Lepisosteus oculatus: one gene and its partner. The protein of the gene in region 1 purifies or fractionates together with the protein of each later gene. This does not show direct contact. Links are inferred from orthologs where the notes say so. Each region holds a gene or a part of one and is shown on either strand. Other genes may lie near its edges.

What was found. Proteins that work in one complex are often made in the same cells at the same time.
Region 2: the proteins of ago4 (region 1) and trinucleotide repeat-containing gene 6A protein purify together in Homo sapiens (co-immunoprecipitation; 4 studies listed by BioGRID and IntAct, with this or other methods). This does not show direct contact. The link is inferred for Lepisosteus oculatus from reciprocal best matches to the Homo sapiens genes AGO4 and TNRC6A.

The regions. Positions count from the first base shown.
Region 1 is NC_090706.1:162,900-170,558, forward strand, and holds the start of ago4 (protein argonaute-4), read right to left. Parts: upstream 3,008-7,659; 5' UTR 2,864-3,007; coding exon 2,845-2,863; intron 1-2,844. Other genes in the region: claspin, read left to right, coding at 4,608-4,631, 5,559-5,679, 5,898-6,259, 6,749-6,892, 7,141-7,197, 7,296-7,368.
Region 2 is NC_090714.1:11,923,375-11,930,493, forward strand, and holds the start of trinucleotide repeat-containing gene 6A protein, read left to right. Parts: upstream 1-4,112; coding exon 4,113-4,211; intron 4,212-7,119.

The sequences.
Region 1 (7,659 bases):
AGCGTCTTCGTTCGAAAAGGGGTCCAATGGGCAGTTTGCCCAAAGTAGAAAAAAATCAGTTCTTTACCCTTAACTAAGGCAGACGAACACCGGAAGAAGCCACATTGCTAACCTGCGGTCCTGGTCTTACTGTAACAATCTACAGGTCAAAGGCCACCTGGCCTGATACTCTGGGCCCCAGCTGCCCTGAATGATCCAGGGTCTGGTTTCCCTGAACGGACGGGCAGAGAGGCAGCTCCTCTGCCTCCTGGCTCTTCCACACTTTCACCTCTCTTACAGCAGCATCTCCCTGCTCTCGGGTGGTAGTTGAGCAGCGCTTTGTCATTTACAATGCTGGTGTATAATCTACAGAAGGTTACAGTACAGAAAACTCTAGACGTGATAACATTCAAATGATAATTCTGTGGAAGCAGGACTCAAACTGGGCCAAACGTATTCCCATCCCCTATTATCCAACTCAATACTTGGCCAGTTTGATGTGCAAATCAAGAGGTGGAAGAATCAATCAAGAACAGAACAGCCAGCAAAGCAGCACAGAAGCAAGACACTTCAGACTGTGTTCATGAAGGGTTAGAACACTTCATCCTTAACTTTCAAAAGCATTCTATTCATAAATACAGCACCAACCTAATGTTATCACAGCTCATGAGTGAAAAACATCATTTATGGATTTTTAACAACATATCCATCAAAGCACGTGAATGTACCTGTGTGAAGGTACTGGTGGGAACAGGTGTTTTGCACTGAGGAGTCAATGTCTTGGCAGTGATCAGTCAATAATCAGACTGGAAAGAGGGGTTTAAGAACACCTGCAAGGCAGATGGGATTAATGACGAATTTGCGACAGGACAGAGGCCCTGCCTGCCACAAGGAAAAGACAACACCGAGAGTGAAAGAGCTGCAGGATGTCTGAGGATATCAAGAGCTCAGCAGCAACACCGCACAGGTCATAGAATAAGGCTACACAGAGCAGCCTAGCCCTGTCCTATGAACCTGTAAATCAAGGCATGTCCAGGCGGGTCAGAGAGCTCCCTGCGGATCCGTGGGGATCTACAGCCCTGGCTGGACTCGCTCTGTCCACCGGTGCGCTCCCTGTGGATCCTGGGATTCTGTCCTGGGTCTCCGCTCTCCTCTCTACACTCATTCCCCAGGTCCTCACCTCCTGTCATGGTCTTTCACACTCAACGCGAAGGACGCAGAGTTTCTCATGTTCACTATTTATATGCCTTTCACCTCCTCCTGGACTCGATGCTCTTCTTCCAGCAGACCCCATGCATCTCTTCTCTACCAGATCCCAGGCGCCAGCCTCCCTTTCCCCTCAGCCCCTCATCACCTTTGCATGAGGTGCCCTCCCTTCAGCAAGAGTTAAGCCAAAATCTACATGGGTCCCGAGGCTGTCTGTAAGGGTGTTAATCCCAAACTGGGCTCAGACAACCTAACCTCCCCACTGGTTCCCAGTTTCTCTCTGCCCCTGCTCTGCTGCGTAAGGGGGCTGCTGCTGTTCTGTGTCTACAGGGCGATGCAGCACCCCAGCTCTCCAAGACCCATTGTGATGATGCATGCTATACAGACATGGGGACTGAACTACAAGGGCTTAATTCTCAAAATAGTAATGCAACGTACCAACTGCATTTAATCACTGCAGACAAGCTGTAAGCACCCAGTAGGTGCATAAGTTACCACCCTGCATCCCCAGAGCCTGTGCAGTTTCACCCCTACGGCTGCCTTCGCCCGTCAGGAGAGGAGCAGACTGGACACGCAGCTGCACGACTGTTCCTCGTATTAACAAGTAAACTTTCCAGTTTGCCATTCACACTGAATGAAGGGGTCTGCTATATACAGGAATAATAATAATACTTCCATTGCCTGGCCCAGGAAAGAATCTTTACTCCAGAAGACAAGGGGTTACTAGTCCACAGATAGTGCCCTTCTTATGAATTACAAGCAAATCCTGAAAAAACACCGACTGTACACATTTGCAGGACACCAGAATCCCAGCCACTGCCCTTTTATGTACCACAATTCCCATGTGGGAAGCATTTTTTACCCCGGATAACTTATTTTAAAAGGTACAATAGCTTTGAGTTAAACAACAATTTAAAACACTTAAGCTATTAAATCACTTTCGTACTTATTGATACATATATTAGGTAAACTACTTTTAAAATTCTTCCTAACATTATCGGGGATTTCTACATACATCAATAAGAGGATTATTCCACGCAGAGGCACATAAACCGCACTTTCCCGTAGTTTAAACCCCACTCGGGCTTCGGTGAGGCTGCACATCCCGATACAGACACCGCAAAGACGCCGTAAACGTGCTGGTCAGCGAGCAGAGAGACCGGACTGTGCCACCGCTCCGGCCGGCAGCGAGCGACAGACACCCGACAGCTGGATCACGCAGAGCTCCGGGACAGCTGCAAGCACAGGGACCGAGGCTCCGGGCTCCACCGTGGTGGACGAAACCAGACGGACAGAGAAGCTGAAATCCGCTCTCGCAAACCGACACGAAGCTCCGCCGCCTTCGCTCTCGGACCCGCCGCAGCCCGCAGGCTGAGCACGACAACAACAACAGACGCGGAAGACGCGGAAAGGCGCTCCTGACGTTTCGCTCCAAGCGCGACCCGGGGCTGCGGCACACGGCCACACCGGACACCAGCCCTCCGTGAGGGACAGAGCCCTGCAGGCAACACCCCGTGCCGTGTGGTTAACCTCCCGACCTCGCTCTTCCTTCCGTCTTCCCGATCGCCCGCGGAGGCCTCGCAATCCCCGGCCCCCAGTGAGCGAGCGACCCGGGCCCCCCGCTCCTGCCCTGCCGGGCCTGCCAGCGCCTCTTCTCACCGGGTCCGAGCGCTTCCATGGCCGAGGGCTCTCTCTCCGTCTCTGTCCCGGCCTGGCGGCTCCGTACCGACACTGAGATTGGGGGCGGTATCGCGAAGCTGAGAGGGTCCACTCTGAGAAACTGAGGTCCGCTGTCGCCGCTCGGTTTAAAGCGGATCCGGGGAGTGCGGCAGTGCGCCTGCGCGCCGAGCGCTGCCCCTGCTGTGCGCCTGCGCCGTCCGGGGATTTAAACTGAGCGCACGGAGACGGGCAGCACAGGCGGCTGTGGACTCCCGGGGGTTTGGTTATCGACATCTATTTGGGCAGCATAGTACATGGAGAATTCGTCTCCCGTTGGATGAGGCTTTGGTTAGCCTGTCAGCGGTTTACCCGCGGTTTTTATAAATAATTCTACCAGGGAGGAAGCAGGAAGTTATCATACCGGCCGCTAGAGGGGGCAGCGCAGTTAATTGAAAGGTCTGACATCTCCGTAAACTGGCAGCATTTCAGCTCCGTTTTTACCAACGCCGTTGAAAAGCCTTGTCCCGCGCTCACAGTATCTCTTGTGCGGAGCTCTGTCAGAGCCTGGGCTGCTCAGCGTGCTGGGGTCCGGGGAGTCACAGAGGAGAAAACGCGTTTATATCGACATGCATCTGGGGAGCACAGGGAGAAAACGGAGTGTATCATGCTACAGCTTATACTTTTCATTCAGGTTCCAAAATGTGTGGGTGTCTGTGAAATCGTCACATTCGTCAGTGATCTGTATTGTTTTACTCCTGTTAACGTGGCTGTTTGCTCTGCTCTGCAACAGCCGTCCTGTAGCTGCAGCCCTGTCCCACAGCAGCTCAGGTAAAACCAGCAGGTTTATAAAGTATAATTTGCACTTCTTATTTATTTAATCCTCATTGTAATGTACAAATTAAGGGCGTCTGCCAGAAAAGATTTTTAAATTAAATTGAAAAAATATGACATGCTTTTTATTCTTATAAATTACTTTAAAACCACCGTATTGTCACGCAGTCGGTGGTCATTTAGTACAAATAGTTAAAAGTTTCAGCGCTGTTTACATTTTAATGAGGTTCAGTTTCAGGGCAACGTTGAAATCCTGTTTTGTCTCAGAGTATCCGGAATCAAAGGGGCTGAGTATTGTTTTAACAAAACTGCAATAAATATTGTGAGCTACCGTTAAGCTTACCCAATACAAAGTGAGGGGGGGGATAAAATTCACATCTATATTTTTATTTAAAATAAGGTGATTGCTTATTTTTGCTTTATTTTAGAAAGAGAATATTTTTATTTAATTCACAGTTCTTTAGCATTACTGTATTTGTGATTCCAAGAAAAACTACACAAAACCAAGCTTTCCAATCAGACCCCCGAGTGCACTGCGACTCGCTATTGGTCCCTGCTGCTGTCCGTCACTTGCGTGAGGCGTGGCTGGGAGCGTCGGCAGCCCCCGAGGTGGAATAAGTCTGCCGAGGTGGGCGGGTGCGAGGCGGGATTGACGGCCGACAGCCCAGTCAGGAGGGAGAGGAGGGGGCGAGGGGCGGGATGGCGCCCTGGGCGCGCGAGCGGTTGAAAGTCCTTTCTGAGAGAGCGCGCGGGAGGGAGAAGCAGGCGGGCAGCTACGAGTTGTTACTGTTGCGGATTAGATCTCATCTGTTTATCTGGTTTATTTTAACTGTTTAAATAGTTTGTCAAGGAGGGCGAGAAAGTGGACGTGGCCTTGCGTGCGTTTTCATGAGTCTGTGTTGTCGAGTGTAAGCGGAAAAGAGCCCGTCGCCATGAGTGCGGCCGTGTCCCAGCAGGTTTGTGCTGTTTTAGTCACGGTGGCGAAGTGTTCGTAAAGACCCGCGGTTCGTGCTCTGGGGGGGCTGTGTGCTGCTGTGCGGCTGTCCGGCCTCCGAGAGGGCTGGGTCCGGGCGGGCTGGACGGGCCGCAGCAGCACCGCCAGCGGAACCGAGCCGTCTGACCCGGGGTGTGTTCTCCGGGCCTCGGGAGGAAAGTCTGCGGTTTGTTTTGGTTGCTGAGCTTTTCGTGGCAGCGGCTCTCTGCCGCCTCGGCTGGCTCCCGGCCCGGCCGCTGGGGGGCGCGCTGCTCCGCTCTCGCGGTCCGGTGGTTCAACGTGCGAGCGGGGTTCATAGCGGGGGCTCCTGCTTCGCCACTCGGCCTGTGTCTCGGCTGGTGCGCTGCCGTTTCAGTCCGGGGTCTGCCAGGGCGGTCAGACTGTACAGGGCCCGACGCGAGTTTCTTCCGAGCAGTCGGGACCTCGGGTCTGATCATGGGCCCAGTCGCTGGGTGTTGTTAGCCCACCGAGCTGTTGCTGCAGATATGAGCTGCTCCTTCTCTGGAGTGTCGCACTGCCGGCTGGAGGCACTGTCCTCCACTCGCAGAGCTCAGAGCAGACCCCCAGGGCGGTTTCCATGGGATCACAGGGGCAGTAAGCCCATCGGCCAGATGGGAGGAATGGCTGTGCTCGATTATAACCTTTCTTGTGTAGCCGAACTCGGCTGTGTCACCGCCAGCCGGTCAGTGTTCAGGTTTCTCCAGCTGTGCGGTGTTGTAACTGTAAGCCATCCTGTTGATGTATTGCAGTGAAGTCAATCTGCAGTAAATCATGTCTAACTATAGCGATGCTCGATACAGATGCTACCCCACGTCCTCGGGACCCGTCTGTGGTGACGCTGCGCTGTGCCGTCGTGCCCGTAGGTAACGGCCACCCGTTTTCTCTCCAGGCGCCGGACGTGCTTCCCGTGGAGGAGAGCGACTCCGACAGCGGAAAGGGCAGCTGCGACCTGAGCCCCCCTGTGCCCACGGGGGGCGCCCCAGCGATGGCTGAGAGCAGCGAGGACCAAGGTCAGCGGGGCCGGGGGTATAACGCCACAGAGCTCTGAGGGCTCTGCAGTGGGGTCACTCTGAACCTCCTGAGGCTCTGCCTGCTCCGCAGGGGGGATTTGTACAGTTACCCTGTGTCTCATAACTGAGCAGTTTGACGATGGTCCGGACCGTTCGGAAGCGAGTGTCTCGTGTGCGTCGCCTCGGAAGGTCCGTGTCAAAGACGTCTTGTGTTCCAGACTCGGACGGCGAGGTGGCTGTGAAGAGGAAGCCGCGCGGCAGGACGGCCCTGAGCGACAGCGACAGCGAGGCCGAGGAGGGAGGGGGGCCGGCCGAGGCTCTTGCCCTGTCGGAGTCCAGCGAGGAGGAGAGGCAGGAGGGAGGAGGCGGGAGGACAGGACAGCGGACGAGGAGGGTGGCGCAGGCCGCCTGGGACAGTGAGGACAGCGAGGCGGAGACGGACAGGCAGGCCGGCAAGGCACAGGGAGAGTCCCCTGCTGGGGAGACGGTGAAGCGGGAGGAGAGGTCCGAGCATTGCCGGGAGAAGGACAAGAGGAGGGCAGAGGCTGCGCCGAGAGCGAAGAGGAACAGGAGGAAAGAGGTACGTACAGGGCGCAGCTGGGAAGATGCAGCCCTGGGCCTGGAAGGGCGGCGAGCACAGGTGTGCCTGCGTCAGACAGGTAGTGCTCCAGCCAGCTTTGTCCTGCTTGCCCGGTTGGCTGTCAGTGCTGTGTCAGGGGAGAGCTGCTCAGCAGACTTCATAGTTAACAAAAATATTGAATGTCTTTGGCTGTTCTGCAGTCTTAATTTATCCTGGTCCACAGAAACATTTTAAATACACTGCATGTTCTTAAATTGTCTAGTCACTGATTGTTGGACAGGTTTTTATGTTAACTTTTTGTGCTTATTTTAAAATACTTCTGAATGAGTGTCATGTGATGTGTAAGCTTATATCGGTTCTGTGACTGCACAGTTTGAATGTGGATTTAACTGGATGGGGCATCAGTGAGGTTTGGGTGGGGTGTGTGGCTGATTCGCTAAACAAGGCCAACATTAGGACAGCAACCACTTCACTCTCTCCCTAATCTAGGAGCCCACTGCTCCCCCCTCCTTTAATGACAGTGGCTGCCTCCTCAGAGACAGTGACCTGTTTGACACAGGTGTGGGGGAGGAAGAGGAGGAGTCCCTGGATGCCATCAGAGCAGCGATGAAAAACAAGGTGAAGAAGCATAAGGTGAGCAGAGGTCATGACATGGCGACTGCAGGACTCTTGTCTGCACTGCTGTGTTGGGGGAAATGAGGAGTTAAACCTCTTTTCACTTCTGCACGTTTGACTTTAGTCACAGAGTCCTTTAGTGCTGGCAAAAGTGTCTAATGCTCTTCTGTAAAGCAGGGTCCAGCATTTTATTGTCCAAGCGGGTCTCGAGCACTTTGTCTCGGCAGATTGAGGTTTGTGTACAGACGTGTTTTTCCTGTCCCCAGGAGAGAGCCGGGAGGGAAAAGGAGGAGGCTGAGGGGGTGTGTCAACCAGAGCGGAAGGTGAGGTGACCTTTGAACTTTGCGTTCTTGTTGTAGAACGCTGCTTCTGTTGCTCGGTGTCTGATTCCTGTGCGTTTCTGTCCTCTCCTCTCTGTCAGGAGAGGAAAGCAGCCCGGGCCAGCAAAGAGGCCATGAAACAGCTGCACAGCGAAAGCCAGAGACTCGTACGAGGTAAGAGCCTGTCTCTCCCTGTTGCTGACTGTCTAGCAGTGCTTCTTCACCTGGGGTGCAGCCGTCCCTCCTGGGGGTGTGAGATGTGCCAGATATTTTAAATCAAGAAACCAAATTAAGCACAGACACAAAAGTATAATAACTTTGTTTAATCAGTCCTAGGTATTTTAATGTAAACAGGAAAAGGTCAATGCCAGGCTGAAAGGAAAAGAAGAGATGCAATGTTTTGGCTATGGAGCCTTCAGGTGTGGACATCTGTGACACCTGAAGAAGTGTCCACAGCCAAAACAT
Region 2 (7,119 bases), on another chromosome or scaffold:
CTGCACTTTGACTAAGGCCGGAACAGGGCCCTTGAAGGCTCCTAGTTCGCTATGTTTTCTCTGGGACAGGCTGGTCTGGAGTGAGGGAGTTTCCAGAGAAAAGGGTGACCTCTGGGGAAAAAACAAAGAGATTTTATCTGGTCTCGGTTTGTTTGCAGCACCCCCTGCTGTAATTACATATGGACCTTTTAAAAAATGGATGAACGTCGCTCACTGCAGATAGTTATATTAATTTTTTAGCCAAATTTATTTAAGATTGTATAGCAAGGAATGGTAGTGTAGTACTTACAAATGAACTACCTTGCTCAAGGGTACAATTCTAAAGCCCTTACCACTGCCCAAATTGACCAAATGTATTAGCAAACCCCAGCTACTGGGAACATTTGTTTTCTTTTCAGTCTTCTCTGCACACGAACGTGCAATTTGTACAAATTTCTATTTATTTGTGACGGACCCTTCCCTTACCTAAGGCCACCCCAGGGATCTGCACGTATAAAAATGTCACAATAATGAAAAACAAGCACAGGCAACTTTATTATATTTTCAAGGCTTATAACAAAAAGAATGTAAAAAAGAACCAGCTCTATGCATACCCTTTAAATACTTCAAAAAGAACCCTGTTAAAACTCATGTGAGAATGTGCACATGTATTTTCTACCAGTAATTTGATTAATTATTGCCAGTGTGTCTATTCACAACAATTAGAGGCAGGTTTGGCATTCTCTAGTGTCTGGTTAGCTGTAATTGTAGATTTTTAAAGTCGATTTTTTTAAAATCTAAACAGAACTGAGCGTTTTCTTTTGGTATTAAGTTGAAAAAGTCTCATCTTTAAGAAGCTGGATTTGTTCTTCATTTTTTAAAGGAAGTGAAGAAGTCAAGAGCGAAGGAAATGTGGAGCTAAACACAAACTTTTCTGTGAGGTGAATTACCCCGCAGCCCGGAGCTCTGCTGTAAAGAGAGCTGACACACTGCTTCCTCAGTGCTCTCGTGGCATGCTTTCACATACCAGATCAGTCGAAGACCATATTAAATTACATCGACGGGAGTATTTACTCTGTGGCAGAACTTCCCTTGAAATATCTTGAGGTCACCGATTAAAAAGACAGTCAGCACGGAACAAGGCGATGAAAACAAACAAAACGCGTGGATCGCACTCTGTCGGGCGTGTTTTTCCTGTATTATTTTTCGGCTGTTGTTTCAAGCACTTTATAAAGAGCGCCAGGCCACATTTGGGCTGATATAATTTATGCCGGCACTGTTTTAATTACACAGTCGTGTCGTTTGTTTAGAAATTCCCATTACTGATGTCAAGTTGTGTTCATTATTCACTCAGGGCTTCGTAGCCCAGCTATTGTTCAGCGAGTGTTTTCCTCCAGACAGTCTGTGAAGCCGACCCCCACTGAAAAGCCCATTCCCTTGAATTAATCACAAGATGATATAGTTGGTGCCAGCTCTTTTTTAAGCCATTGATATAAAAGAGCTATTTGATTTAATTGGTATTTAAATGTACTCCAGATGAATGCCCACACTTCTACTGCTGTAAGTGGGAACACAGCTGTTTGTAATGAGCAAAATATGATTGTTATAACTGGGAGGGGGGGATACCTGGAACTCGTCAGACAGGGACAGACATGGCCTTGCTCTTTCTTCTAGATCCTGGCGGGTGTAACTCTTTTTCTGCCGCACACTTGAGATCTAGGAACACTGGGATTTCCACTTTGTCCTCTGTCTTGTCTATAGTTGCATCTGTTCAGGGAAAAGTAAAAGGTTTTGTTTATTCACCCGATGTTTCTGAGGAATGATGAGGTGCCAGGAATGGATTCTTGATGATTATGGACTTGTACATAAGGGACAAAAGTCTGTTTCTGTATACTGGTGGATCCCACCCCCATTAGATTGCTGAAGCCTTCATTGATCTAAGACGATCTAGGATCTATGATCTAAGATCCATTTGAATGTTTGCAGTCCACGTTTGGATTTTATTTCACTTAAAAAATAGATCATGTTTAAGAGCTGGGAACAAACAGTTCAACTTAATCTTATTATTCTTGGTAAAGCTCGTGAAAGGGTTTGATTGTGTAACTGAGAGCTCCATTGGAACAAAACGTGTGCAGACGTTTTTATGTGGGTGGCCAGCCCTTTCTTTGTGGGAACCCGTACTCTCAAGATTTTACTGGGTATCACTAAATTGTCAACCGGATAAGTACCCTGGAACAGAGAGCAATTTTGACCAGTTCTGCCCAATAATTGAATTAAAAGCTTGGATGGAATAAAACTCCATGTCCAGGGGCGACCAGTGCTTATTCTTGCAAACCGATATTGTGTGTGGGCATGATTGTAAGGTGAAAATTGTAGAAATATTGTATCTTTCACACGATGCATACTACATTGGTATCAACAATAAACCTTAGCTGAAAGAAATGGCCTTTTTCTGACTGAGGTGTAAGGATATATTTTTGTGTGTAGTGAACTCAGATTGTGGCTGGCTGAATAACACACAGGATATCTAATTTATACGAGCTCTGGAGGACTGAATGATGGGCGATTTGTCCCTCAGTACAACTAGAACAAGTTCTGTGTTTGGCAAGCCAAGTGTCCAAGTCAAGACTTGTGTCCAAGTATCTATTGCTTGTCTGTTGTGCCTTCTGTCAGACATCCATGCCATTACAATGTTATAAAAGGGTGTTATGCTTTAGATTGCTTTAGAGCTTTGTTTTTTGCATTCATTTAATTAATTTAGGAATCAAAAGATTGAATTAAGGTAAAACATAATTACATGATTTTGAGGTTCCTGAATGGTTTCATTAAATAGTGCAGGATGTCCTAGAAAAGTGCTTTAGGTCAAGATATTGAAGAGCATTTTAGAGACTGAAGGTGACTCTGGGTCAGGTTTCAGTTACATGTAGTAGTTTATTGTTACACGTACTAAATATATAGTATCGTCACTAGTTCTAAGCATTTAAGATAACCTTTTTTCCATAATTAACAATGATATAATATATAATGGAAAATATACACTATTAGCACAAAAGTTTAAAATAATCCAGTTGTGTTGAATTTTTTTATGAGAAATGTGAGTTCAGCGTTAGAGGTAAGATTATTTTAATTTGCTTAAAAATAACTCAACAACATAACTCAATAGATGTAATAGTATTTTCTAAGAGATTGAAGCCCTGTGCATAATGTTCATAATGAAATGATACTTCTCCCTATGATGATCTGAATGTTATTAAAGGACCAAATCTTTGCCAAAGATCTGGGGAATAAGATACTATTTATCCAAAGCCCCGTAGTGTATAATGGTATATATTTCCTCTTTGAGATTGTAAAGAAAACATAGTATGAACCATCCATGTCATTAATATGTTTGCAGAATATTATAACTTAAATAATATTCTAATTTCTCATAAAATTTAGTAATTATGTTTTTATGATATACATTATATAGATCATTTTTCTCCAAATAATATTCATTTATTCTTTCTTGCAGCCTGCAGTCGTTCCATGAAAGATTATATCTTTTGGAATTTTGTATGGTTTGAATATCTTTATGCAAAATTCTTTAAAAAATATTTTCTAGGTGATGCCAGAAATAAAATAAAATTCCTACCTTATATGAGTGGTAAATGTAGTGATCTAAACTTAAAGGAAACTGAGTGAATCAACAGCCGTGCGCGTTCAACTTAAAAGAAGGCAGCGTTGTTCCTGCGCATTCATAGTAAATTAACATTGCGAAAACAAAGTTCTGCTCTTGGCTGTCACCTGTCCCAGTTTCCAGATTTTCCAAGGGCACAAGGTGGAGGTTTTAACAAAAATTAAGCTGAGTGTTAGATTTGACTCGTGAAATAACGTGGACTTTCGAGTGTTAATAAACTCATTCGAATAACATTTTTTTTTTCTCAGTCGTGGCTCTCAAAAAAATAAAAGAACACCCCCAAAAAAGGAGACCCGTCCTGTGAAAACCAGCGGCGTTTTTTCGTGAAGGCTGGGGGCTCGCTTCCTCGGGCGGCATCCTTTCGGAAACCCGAGGCGTCCTCCTCGTCGGAAGCTACGTTTACCCCCCAATCCGTGTGCCGACATTTTAATTCGCCTCCAATCTCCCCCCTTCCGCCATGTCTGGTTCCTCTCTCCCTGCGTGTGCTGAGTGTGCTGGTCTGCAAAAGGCTGCTGCCACGCGCTTTGCTCTGGCATTCCTCTGTGCTGCGTGCCAGGTAAGGAGAGATCCGCGCCCGTCCGCTCCGCTCCGCGCCGCGCCGGGCTACGGGACGGGCGCCTGCCTTTATTTCGGGGGGTTCGTCGTCCTGCGGCTGGTACTGTTGAAAGGGCTGCAGATGAACGGAGCTGGGGTGGGGGGAGGAGAGGGGAAAAATAAAGGCAGGCATGCCAGTCTGCCAGTAGGTACAGATGCTGCGTAGTCTGTGCTCGTCCTTGAAGGCTGTCCAAGAGCTGGCTCAGGGCGCCGGAGGGGTGGCAGGGTTCCAGCCTCATCTCTCTCTCCCCCTCTCTCGCACGCTCCGTCTCTCTCCCTTTTTTGTTTTTTGTTTGCGTTTTGTCCGGCGGGCTGCGCGCAAACTGTCCCGTGTGCTCCTCGTCCTGTCAAGGGTGCCCCGCGACAGCCCGGGGCCGACGGGCGACCGACGAGGGGGTTGGCATGCTTTCCGTCCTCCCAGCCAGCGCCATTTGCCTTCACCTCCACCTGTCGGGTTGCAGGGGAGTTGGGGGGGGGAGGCATTGTCCCCCCTCACTCCTCCTCCTCCTCCTCATCCTCCACTTTTGTTGTGTTATTTTTTGTCACGAAAGCCGAGCGGCGGATGGCACCGTGCGGGGCTGCAGTGCTCGGCTGTGTGACGTCATGGCTGTCTGGCCAGCAGCGAACACGCTTTGCAGCGTGCAGGTTGCAGAGCATTTACTGCAGAGCCTGTGACCTGTTTTTCTTTCCCTGTGCAGCAGAAGAGGTTTTTTTGGGAGAGTGGGGGGGGTTTGTTGTTGCTTTGGTTGGTTATTTCCTCACGTCATAAATCCCGATTCATATCGCAGTAGTACCAGCTTAACCAGTGCCAGGTCGCAACAAAAGGGGGGGGGGGTGGGAAACCGAACAGAACAGTTTAGTCCTCTTTTCATTCCCCTTTTCTTTTTTGCCATCCATTATTTCGGTCCTCCTCCGTCCTGAATGGAAATTTCTCAGAGAAGTCGATCAGTGCCTGCTCATTTGAGAGGTAAATGAGAGCTGATTATTTAGTATCGGATGCATTATGTGTTTCGTACCAAAAAAAAAAAGAGAGAAAATCCTGTGGTTTTGATTTGTATGAATTCCACTGTTGCGGCATTGCATCTAGCCCGGGCTGCTATCTGAGGAGCTCTGAGGGCTGGGATGGTGCACAAAGGGAGAGCCAGAGAGGGTGGAAAGGACATTGCTGTAAGAAAACCTTGGCATCTTTTCTGGCATTGCTTTCGTTATTTATTTTTAAACCGTTGTCCCCCCCCCCTCTCCTTGCGCTTTTTGCCTTTATCCTTTGTTGCCCTTCGTTTGCAGCCGGCTGGAGTTTTTGTTTTGCGTTTTTTTCTTCTTCTCCTTCTCAGTCTGAGCTTCGTCCCCTTTTGTGAGAACGTTGTTTGGTACTGTCGCCGAGGCTGTGTGCCAAGTCTGTCTAATTAAGATTAAGCATATGCAGATTTGCCTTGTTTTCAGCTAATGACAGCTGCAAACAATTATTTGTCATGCTTGCTGATTGTTGATTGGTGAAAGGATAGCCATGAGAGGATTCTCAGCTTTCTCAGGGTGTGCGTGTGTCGGTGTATGTGTGTGTGTGTGTTGGTCTCGGTAAGTTTCGAGATGCTGTTTGTCTAGACAGACGTGGCCGGCGTAAATTTCTTTCATTTCGCCGTCTTCTCGTGATATCTTGAAACAAAAGAAGCAGTGGGAGAAAATTCTTGCGAAAGCAGAGGGGTTCATGCCTGCCTGCCTGTGTGGATGCTTGTGTTTCTCTGCTGCGGTGGGCTTCTTGGCATTGGGGGCCAATGTATAGGTTTTGTTCTTAGTGTGCCAAAAGGAGGATGATGGGGGGGGGGGGCATTGCGGCGGCCCTTCGTGCTCCTGAACGCCAGCGGGGTTAGTGATTCTATAGGGTCGCTTGTTTGTTTCCGTTTTGCGATTTCCATGTTGCCTCTGGGTTTTCATTTGTTTTGGGGGGTTCTTGCTATACAGCCACCGTGTAGGAACAATATGGGGGGAACAGCTAGCTCCTCGTTCAGCCTTCACAAGCTCATTGCGCAGTTAAAGGGAAGGCGTTGCAGCAGGCAGGGCTCTGGCTTCGCAGTCTTGTCCACGAAGCCCTCTTTGGCTCTGCAGCAGAGATCTGGTGCTCCCCTCTTCACAGCCTGGCACCACAGAGGCAGCTCTGATGAACCCTGTCTGGCCACGGAAGCTGAGAATCGGTCCGAGACAAATGCCTGCTCTCAGCTGGGCAGATGAGACTTTGTGACTTGTGGATCTGTTGATTTAAGAACATTTACAAGCGCTTCAGTCACAATCCAGATCCTCCCCACCTCCTGTCCGTTTGAAATGTTTTTGTTTTCTGGGTTTTGATGTAACAGAAGAGTGGGGCAGTGGTCTTGTCAAGGAAATACCAGGTACCAACCATGCTTGGAGGGTGAAAGACTTAAGCTGCGTTTCACAAAAATACTGTCTTTGTCATTAAAATTGCAGTTACTTATACAGGTATGAATCTGTCAGCACTATTGTGCAGGTGCATATAAATGTCTTTTTTTATGATTTGAATTATTAACACATTGTTTACCAGGAAAGTCTGGTGTGTGCAGGTGTGCATTGATCTTCAACTGGGTTTGCACTTTTAAATTGTCCATCAAGAAATGCAGTATGCTCTGGTGTGGAGAAACCTGTGTTTTACCTGGGAGCATTTCCCTGCCATCCTGGAACCAGTATTATATGAACGTCAGAGAGGCTGCACACGAGAGGAGGCTGTTTGCCCCATTGTGCTCATTTGGTTTTAAATCACGTAAGCGAAGATTTCCTCCAGACAGCAGTTCATGAAGGGGCAGTTCCTGATGGAGTTTGGGCTTCAGCCACCACACCTAACTAGAAGTCTGTCTAGGATTCGC